2 linked regions of the Macaca fascicularis genome follow. The protein of the gene in region 1 purifies or fractionates together with the protein of each later gene. This does not show direct contact. Links are inferred from orthologs where the notes say so. Each region holds a gene or a part of one and is shown in the gene's direction. Other genes may lie near its edges.

The links.
Region 2: the proteins of ARPC5 (region 1) and ACTR3B purify together in Homo sapiens (affinity purification with mass spectrometry; 5 studies listed by BioGRID and IntAct, counting the BioPlex papers as one, with this or other methods). This does not show direct contact. The link is inferred for Macaca fascicularis from reciprocal best matches to the Homo sapiens genes ARPC5 and ACTR3B.

The regions. Positions count from the first base shown.
Region 1 is NC_088375.1:41,179,647-41,183,956, reverse strand, and holds the start of ARPC5 (actin-related protein 2/3 complex subunit 5), read left to right. Parts: upstream 1-1,234; 5' UTR 1,235-1,343; coding exon 1,344-1,487; exon of another isoform or gene 1,488-2,430; intron 2,431-3,966; coding exon 3,967-4,038; intron 4,039-4,310. UniProt on the Homo sapiens protein: Component of the Arp2/3 complex, a multiprotein complex that mediates actin polymerization upon stimulation by nucleation-promoting factor (NPF).
Region 2 is NC_088377.1:194,089,137-194,092,949, forward strand, and holds part of ACTR3B (actin-related protein 3B), read left to right. Parts: intron 1-2,707; coding exon 2,708-2,881; intron 2,882-3,813. UniProt on the Homo sapiens protein: Plays a role in the organization of the actin cytoskeleton.

The DNA.
Region 1 (4,310 bases):
CACAGCACTGGAAACCAAAGATTGTGGCACACAACAGGACAACAGCCAGTCTTCTGTTCGAGGTCCAACTAAACTAGACCCATACCTGAGCAATGTCCAGCCAAATGTCCAAATTAATTTTATCCTGCAAATATTTGTTCTTCAGTGTAATACACACAGCACAACTACCATTTCCTTCGTCTTAGTGCCTTTATCTCCTACATTCCGGAAATGGGGATGTCAAATATTTTTTTTAAAATCTGGCCTAGATGGAATCATATAAATCTTAAATCATAATATAAATCTTAAAGGTCTGGTTTCCACCAATCCTTACCCATTTTGTTTTCCCCCAGCACTAGAGAGCCTAACCTACCCTCACCCCTTTTCAGCATTCTTGCTCCAAACAACCACCTATTTTAAGATGTCAATGACCCTTTCCCAAATTCTACAAATTCACCCCAGTTTTGCCAACCGACCCCAGCGCCTGCCCGGACACATTCCCCTCCCTCCCAGTAGATTTGATACCGAGTTCAGGTTCTGCAGATCCCGTCGTGATGCTGTCACACAGCACTGACAGATAAGATTTGACCTTTCGACTCCGTCCTTGGGGACCTCCCGCTGGCCAAGTAGGGTAGTTCCAACCCCAGGAAACGGGCTTCCCGCTCAGGAACGCAGCCCCTAGCAGCGCACAGTCCGAGGTAACGTCTCCGGCAATTAGAACGATGCTGGGCGCCCGGGTGTGCATCACTCCGCCTCATACTCCTGCCAACTGCAGGGCACTCGGTCCGGCAGCCAAGTCCATCCCACCCACATCCAAGTCCCAGCCAGTCGGACCTTACGCAGGACCCGGATGACAGGTCGTTGACGGCTGCAGCAGAAGTCAATGCCACCTGCCGCTGCTGCCCATCACCGACAACCTCAGACCCCCTAGACTGGACCGCAGAAAAGCGTTTCTATGGGAACCCCCTGGGAATCACGTGACGCACTCGGACGACCAATCGTTTCTTACCTCCGCCCGCGATCCAGGTTTCGGCCCTCCCTCTCGCCCCCTCCTCCTTCGCCCAGCCCCGCCCCTTGCCTACGGAGAGCCCGCGCCTGCGCGCTGTGTCCTGCGCGCTCCCTCCCCCGCGCGCGCTCTCCGTGAAAGAGTGGGGGCGGCGTGGGAGGCGCCAGGAGAGCGTGAACCTGAGGAGGAAGCAGCAGGGTTGGCGCGCAGGCCCAGAACCGTCCCAGCCACGGCAGCCGGCGACGCCCCAGAGCGGAAGAGGGAAGTGAATCAGGCGCCGGGCAGTGGGCTGCTGGGCTCGGCTTGCTGAGGTAGAGGCAGCTCCAAGAAGAGGCCTTTGCCGCTGGTAGGGATTGGGATGTCGAAGAACACAGTGTCGTCAGCCCGGTTCCGGAAGGTGGACGTGGATGAATATGACGAGAACAAGTTCGTGGACGAAGAAGATGGGGGCGACGGCCAGGCCGGGCCCGATGAGGGCGAGGTGGACTCCTGCCTACGGCAATATCCTTGCATTCGCCGCCCTCCCCACCCTAGCCCAGCCCAGCCCGCCCTTGTCCAGAGACCCGGGAGCCTGAAGGTTCCGCGGGGCCCCGGCGCGGAGCTGCCCTGTCTACCTGCGGCTAAACCTGTCTCTTTGGGGTCTCCCGCTCTGAGAGGGCAGGAGGAAGCCCCCGTTTCCTACTCAGGAGCCAGGAGACGCGAGGGTCCCACTCTTGGAAGCCTGCCCTCCCCCGCGCGCCTTCCACGCCCCCAGATTCCTCAGGTTGCACCCGAGTGCCTGCCTGCCTCGGGAACCGGTCCCGCCGGCCGCGCCTTCGCGGCGTTGGGGAAGGCGGCCCGGGCTGGTGGGGAAGGCTGGTGCCGAGCGCCTAAGTTTTTCTTCCTACAACTCTATTTCCCGGAGTCACATTAGCTCCAGAAATTTCTGATTGTGGGGAACCTGCGTCTTTCCTTAGTGATTTTGTTTTTTGTTGTGTTTTTGTTATTGCTAGCATTAAGATAGTTTATTCCTTACCGGGGGCAGAAGGTAGATGGTACGGTTTGAAAATTGAGGTCCCCTATGCTTTCAGCCCATTGGCCTTTAAAAAAAGAAAAAAAAGGGAGGGGGGGATTTGACAAAATATACATTGCACAGAATTTGTTAACCGGGGGAGGGGAATGAATACAATTTTTTGTATTCCTAAAATTGATTCCATTTTAGTTAAAATATGGCTGTCAGTTCCCGGTTTCTGTTTTTGCATATTTGAATATTCATAACTTTGACTCCGTATTTGCATTACATCTTTTTTAGAAAAATGTAAATGTTGCAAAAAACCGAAGCTATAGTTTTAGAAAATCTCAAACACTGGCTTTTTATGCATTTCTAATTATTGGGTGTATTCATAAGGAAGACTCAATGTCCTGTTATATGAGGAAAATGTGAGTGAAAATATTTAATGGCAACAGTATCCTTTTTTAAAGGCACCTAAATACAGCATTAGACATTTATCAATATATAGCTAGTCCTTTGATTGCCACAACTTTCACAATTAATTAGCTGTTGCTCTTTTGCATTATTTAAATAAGTGCTTGGGGTCATACAAAATGAGCTAATCACATGAGGCATGCTTCTCTAGAAATCCTTGCAGCCTTGAAAATAACAGCTTGTCAACCAGAGATTTTGTGTGTGTGAGAACTTTTTCTTCGGAAGATAAATGGTGAACATGCTTCCTAAAAACATTTGTGATGGATAGATGGTGTTTTATGAAACCCCAATGTATTTTAGGTAATTTATGGTGACTGCTGTGTCCATATCAGTGGATCCGCTTTTTGATCAGTACATCTTAAAATAAAAAGATACTGTCTTGTCTTACCCTTACATACAGCCAGGAAAGACAGCCCTAGTGGTGGGGTACTAGAGATGGAGGAACAAGTGAACTCTGTGGTTTTCCTTTTAGGGGAATGTCTGGTACATTCTGACAGTCTGATTGGCCTTCTGTTTCTCATGCTTGCTAACTCACTAGTGCTTTCAAAGAGAGTCTGAATTTAATAGGTATGGTCTAACACAGTTTGAATAACCGTTGTGAAATATGAGAGAAAATATCTAAAGCAAAAAATTAAGCTGCCACCTAAGGGACATATGAATTATTACATCTTCTGTGATGCCTCTTTTCATCAATATTGAGAGACTGCTAATGTGTATCATTGAGATTGCTAATCTGCCAGCATGTTCTACCAGCATTTCAGTTAATATAGAATATAGTAAAAGTTTGGTCTTTATTTTTTCAATTAGAATCACAGGAAAAGACATATTTTGGTTGATAATAGGTTATTTCATTTGGGGGACTAATAATTCTGATACATATTTTAGGATTTCTTTTTTTTTTTTTTTTTTTTTTGAGACGGGAGTCTCGCTCTGTCACCCAGGCTGGAGTGCAGTGGCCGGATCTCAGCTTACTGCAAGCTCCGCCTCCCGGGTTTAGCCATTCTCCTGCCTCAGCCTCCCGAGTAGCTGGGATTACAGGCGCCCGCCACTTCGCCCGGCTAGTTTTTTGTATTTTTTAGTAGAGACGGGGTTTCACCGTGTTCGCCAGGATGGTCTCGATCTCCTGACCTCGTGATCCGCCGGTCTCGGCCTCCCAAAGTGCTGGGATTACAGGCTTGAGCCACCGCGCCCGGCCTAGGATTTCTTTAACACCACTCTAGGTAATGTTTGCATATGTATCTCACTGGGCAATGAAAGACTATCAAGGTGTTCATTTGATAGTTAGAACCAAGGGTGAAACAGTCTTTGCTTTATTAAAAAGAAAGTCTAATGTTCTGTTTTGCTTTTGATATCTTGCCCTTGATTAACATCCTGGAAACCAACACATTGAATTTCCAGTATTGAACATGGTGACCAGTAATTTTCTTTTTATATATAAAGCAAGTCTTCAGAACCAGTGGTTATAATACTTTCCTGGGGGCCATGCTTTGCTGCTACACCCTTAACTTCCATCACAGGAAACATGACAGCTGCCCTACAGGCAGCTCTGAAGAACCCCCCTATCAACACCAAGAGTCAGGCAGTGAAGGTGAGTCGCAGACTACAACACAGTGATCTCTGCTGATACCTTATTCTTAGTAAAATCCTCTGCAGTTGCAAAAAAAAAACCAATATTTTAACCGTTTGCTAACTTTGACATAGAAGAGTTTATAATGTAGTTTGATAGGTAAAAATTTCACGTGAAAAAATAGCCCTGTAATGTAGTTATGATAATGCTGCATGGTAAGACGCAGTGAATTCAAATAGTGAAATCATTTGTGTGTGTTTTTAGAGGAGACCACTCAGGCTGAATTTGAACAA
Region 2 (3,813 bases), on another chromosome or scaffold:
GATGCTCTGAGGTTCCAGCTGTCAGTGAGAACAGCTTGGTAGCTGGTGCAGTGTACCAGCATGCAGAGGCGCATTGTTCAGCTGGAACCTCACTGCCAGAGCCTCAACTACCAGAGCGCTCCTTCCATACTGCCTCCATGCTTCGCTGTAGAATCAGGAGGCGACTGCAGCAGCAGAACACTGCCACCCTAGAATCCAGAGCTATTGCACAAAATTCACACACAGGTGTGGGTGTGACGTGTGGCCATAAGCATCTCCTTCCTTTACTGCACAGTTTCTGAGTGTAGTGGAGCTTGAGGAGGGTGAGCCTGACACCCACCCTTCTCCTCACTGCCTTCCTCCCTTCTCAGCACCTCGTAACTGAGGCTGCTTGAAGGAAAGGAAGCATCAGAGATGATTCCCGAGGTGTTTTTAGGACAGGAAGCACTGGCCTGGGGCAGGCTCTGCAGTTGGGTATGACCTGCCGTACTTTACCTGGAACCAGAGATTCCTGGGAAGGAGGCTCTCAGTGCTGAAATGGTGACATGGGGAAGACGTGGTCCCTTCCATCTCAGGGGGAGGTTTCCTGAGGTATCATTAGACATTCTTTTTTAGACTAAAATTTTTCCTAAGGGGTTACCGTCTCCTTTCTTTGCCTTTCCTCAATGGAAGAATATTTGACTATTTGATCCAAGCTCCCTTGCCACTCCAAATCTGTTAGAAATGTAAGTCAGAATGGAGCCCCTTCATAGTGGCTCACACGTATAATCCTAGGACTTTGGGAGGCCGAGGCGGGAGCATTGCTTGAGGCCAGGGGTTCGAGACCAGCTCAGGCAATATAGTGAGATCTCGCCTCTATTTCAAAAAAAAAAAAAAAAAAAAAAAAAAAAGAGCCTCTTGTTACTGATACCCAGGGTCCACTCTAGTGGGTCTGAGTCCTTCCTATTTCCACCAGGATTGCTGAGCGGCACTGCTAAGGAGGGGCTTTCCTGACCCTCATGCTGGGCCTTACACTCTCCTCAGGGCTGTTGGAGTTCCAATTTGGACCCTGAAATCTGGGCTGGTGTGCTCGATGTGACTGTGTGTCACCCTCCTGTGAAGGCTGGGAGTAAAAGAGACTCTGTTCATAGCCTCCAAATCAGCTGCCCTGGCCCTGCTGTGTGGGGTAGCCCTTTTAGTTCTTGCCTCACTTCTCTCTTTAAAGGAACAGATCCTGAAAGGCGTGGTTTAGAGCTCCCCCTGCTTCCCTTTACTGCCATGGCCTTCTGTGGTCGTGAGCAGGCCTGAGGGAGTGTGTACCGTGAACACACCACCTTTGCATCATGAATCCTGAACCTTAAGATTAAGCCTGTTACTCTGCACCCAACTCCATGGAAGCATTTCATAGGAAGCGTTTGAGTTAAGTGAGCTGAGATGCTGTGGGATGTTGACCAGGCCTGTGAGGAGAACTGAATGCCTTTGTCTCCAGTCTTGGTTGATTTGAGGTTGTAATCAGCTGACCCTGTTTCTCTGTGTCATCAAGGAACACAGGGTTGTGTAACACTTCTTGCCTGTCAGTCTTCCTAAAATTCTGCTAGAGTATATCCAAGATACCCAGAAGATGGCATTAGAATATGTTTCAGGGATGCTAAGAAACTTTAAACTTAATACCACAAGAACGTCTTTGGAGGTCCTTGAGAGAACCATTCCTTCCACGGTGTGCTGAGTGCCAGCTGGGCAGCCCACCTGGTGTTTCCCGTAGGCAGCGAGTACCTGGGGGTCACCTGCTGCTTGGCTGAGGCCAGCTCTAAGGACACGTATCAACACAAAGGTGTCCAAGAATATTAATCTCACCAGATACTCAGGAAACACTTCGCATCCCTCAGGCTGCCTGTCGGTGCAGGGCGGGGATTGTTAGCGGGTTCTCTCACAGCAGCAGCATCCTGGCAGCTCCAGTCCTCCCCCCTGACTCTCCTTTTCCTTTATTCCCTGGGACCTATCACTTTATAACCTACCATGTCATTTACTTGTTATGGTTGCTTATTGTTGTCTGACTCCCAGCTGGAGTGTAATCTCAGCAGGGATCTGTGTGTGTTTCGCTCACTTGTGTCTCCCAAGTGCCTAGACAGTAAATCTGTGTTAACTGAGGGACTTAGAAGACCCAGTCAACAAGGTACACTATGTCTAGGCAAAGAGATGGTGTCAGTGGAGCCGGCGACAGTGCCGTGGCCAGCTCCACACCAGATTAACAACCAGCAGGTTGACAGTGGCCACCCAGCTTGTGGATGCTGGGACTGAAAGAAGCCTCTGCAGTCAGGTGTTAGGGTGTAGACAGTGCTGCTCTCGGTAGGTGAGGCTGCAGCATGGGTCTGCTGGTCCGGTGTGGACAACAGAGGGGTGCCAGGGCAGGCCATAGGGGGCACCTGAGAGGAAGAAGGCAAGACGTGATTTCTAGACACCTACAGACATCATTTCAGATATGATAGCGATAGAATTGGATAGACCAAGGCTGAGATTAATAGCTGAGTTGCAGAGAAAGCAGACTTACCTGTCCAGAGTCCAAGTGTAACCATGCCTAATATGAAAGATGATGGAATGTGAGACCTGACACGTATCCACACTGGAGTGACGGTGGGGGTGGTTCTGATCCCAGGGCGTGTTTACTGCATGGGGTTCCTGGTTATTTGTCTGAGGGCAGAGACACTGGGCGGTTGTTAATGCCTGGCAACATCTTTGTGTGTGTATGCAGGAGAAATACTGTTACATTTGCCCTGATATAGTCAAGGAATTTGCCAAGTATGATGTGGATCCCCGGAAGTGGATCAAACAGTACACGGGTATCAACGCAATCAACCAGAAGAAGTTTGTTATAGACGTTGGTTATGAAAGGTTCCTGGGACCTGAAATATTCTTTCACCCGGAGGTAAGATGTTTCCTTTTGTGTGTGCTCAAGTGTGTGGGATGGAGCTGTACTGCCACCCAGAGTGCGGAAAGAGCATTTCCCAGCAAAGGGCCTGTGAGCAGGGCGGCCGTCGTTCTGTCTCCCCGCATCCCCCGTGCCGTTTGTCTGCTTGACAGATTGTTCAGTTTGCCTCTCCTCTTGGCTGTCTGTGTTAATAATTAAAGATGGGTTATACCACAAATAGGAAGACTTATAGGAGCAATAGACGATAATAGAACTAAAAGTAATCTTCAAGGGTTGTGGGTGGTCACATGCTAGTATTACGAGTAGCTATAATCTCAAGGACTATGTGGAGGTTGCCTGTGCCTCAGAGTGGGATAACATATAACCTTTCCATCTTTGGTGATTGCCCTTCCTAACTTCTAATTTTAACCCCGGACAGTTGATCCTGCTCTGTTCCCTGCTGCAAGTTAGGTTAATCTTCTGTCTAAGGCCAGCGTTTCTGTTATTTAGGTAATCTTAAGAATTAGAAATGTCATCATTTTAACTAGTAGTTGTAAGGAATTATTAGTACTTTTGCAGAAAGCAGTAATTAAGAGGCACATTTTAAGATTTACATATAATGCATTTTATTTATATTTTGATATATATTCCTGGCTACTTCAGTTTGTATTCAATAGGTGGGTTACAAGCTGCTGTTTGGTTTTAGATATGTATATGGCTGTTTTGTGCAGAGAAACAGCATGGAAAGTATACCTCACTAGTAATCCGAAGAATAAAACGATGGCAATGATAATCCAGCGAATGCCCGCTTTTAATCTGTGGATTTGAAGTGGACATAGAACGGTTAAATGTCCAGTGAACAGCTTGTGAGCCCCTGAGTGGCCTCCTCCTTCCTCTGAGAGTGCACATTCTTTGATTTTTAACATATTTCAAATGAAACATAATTGAGT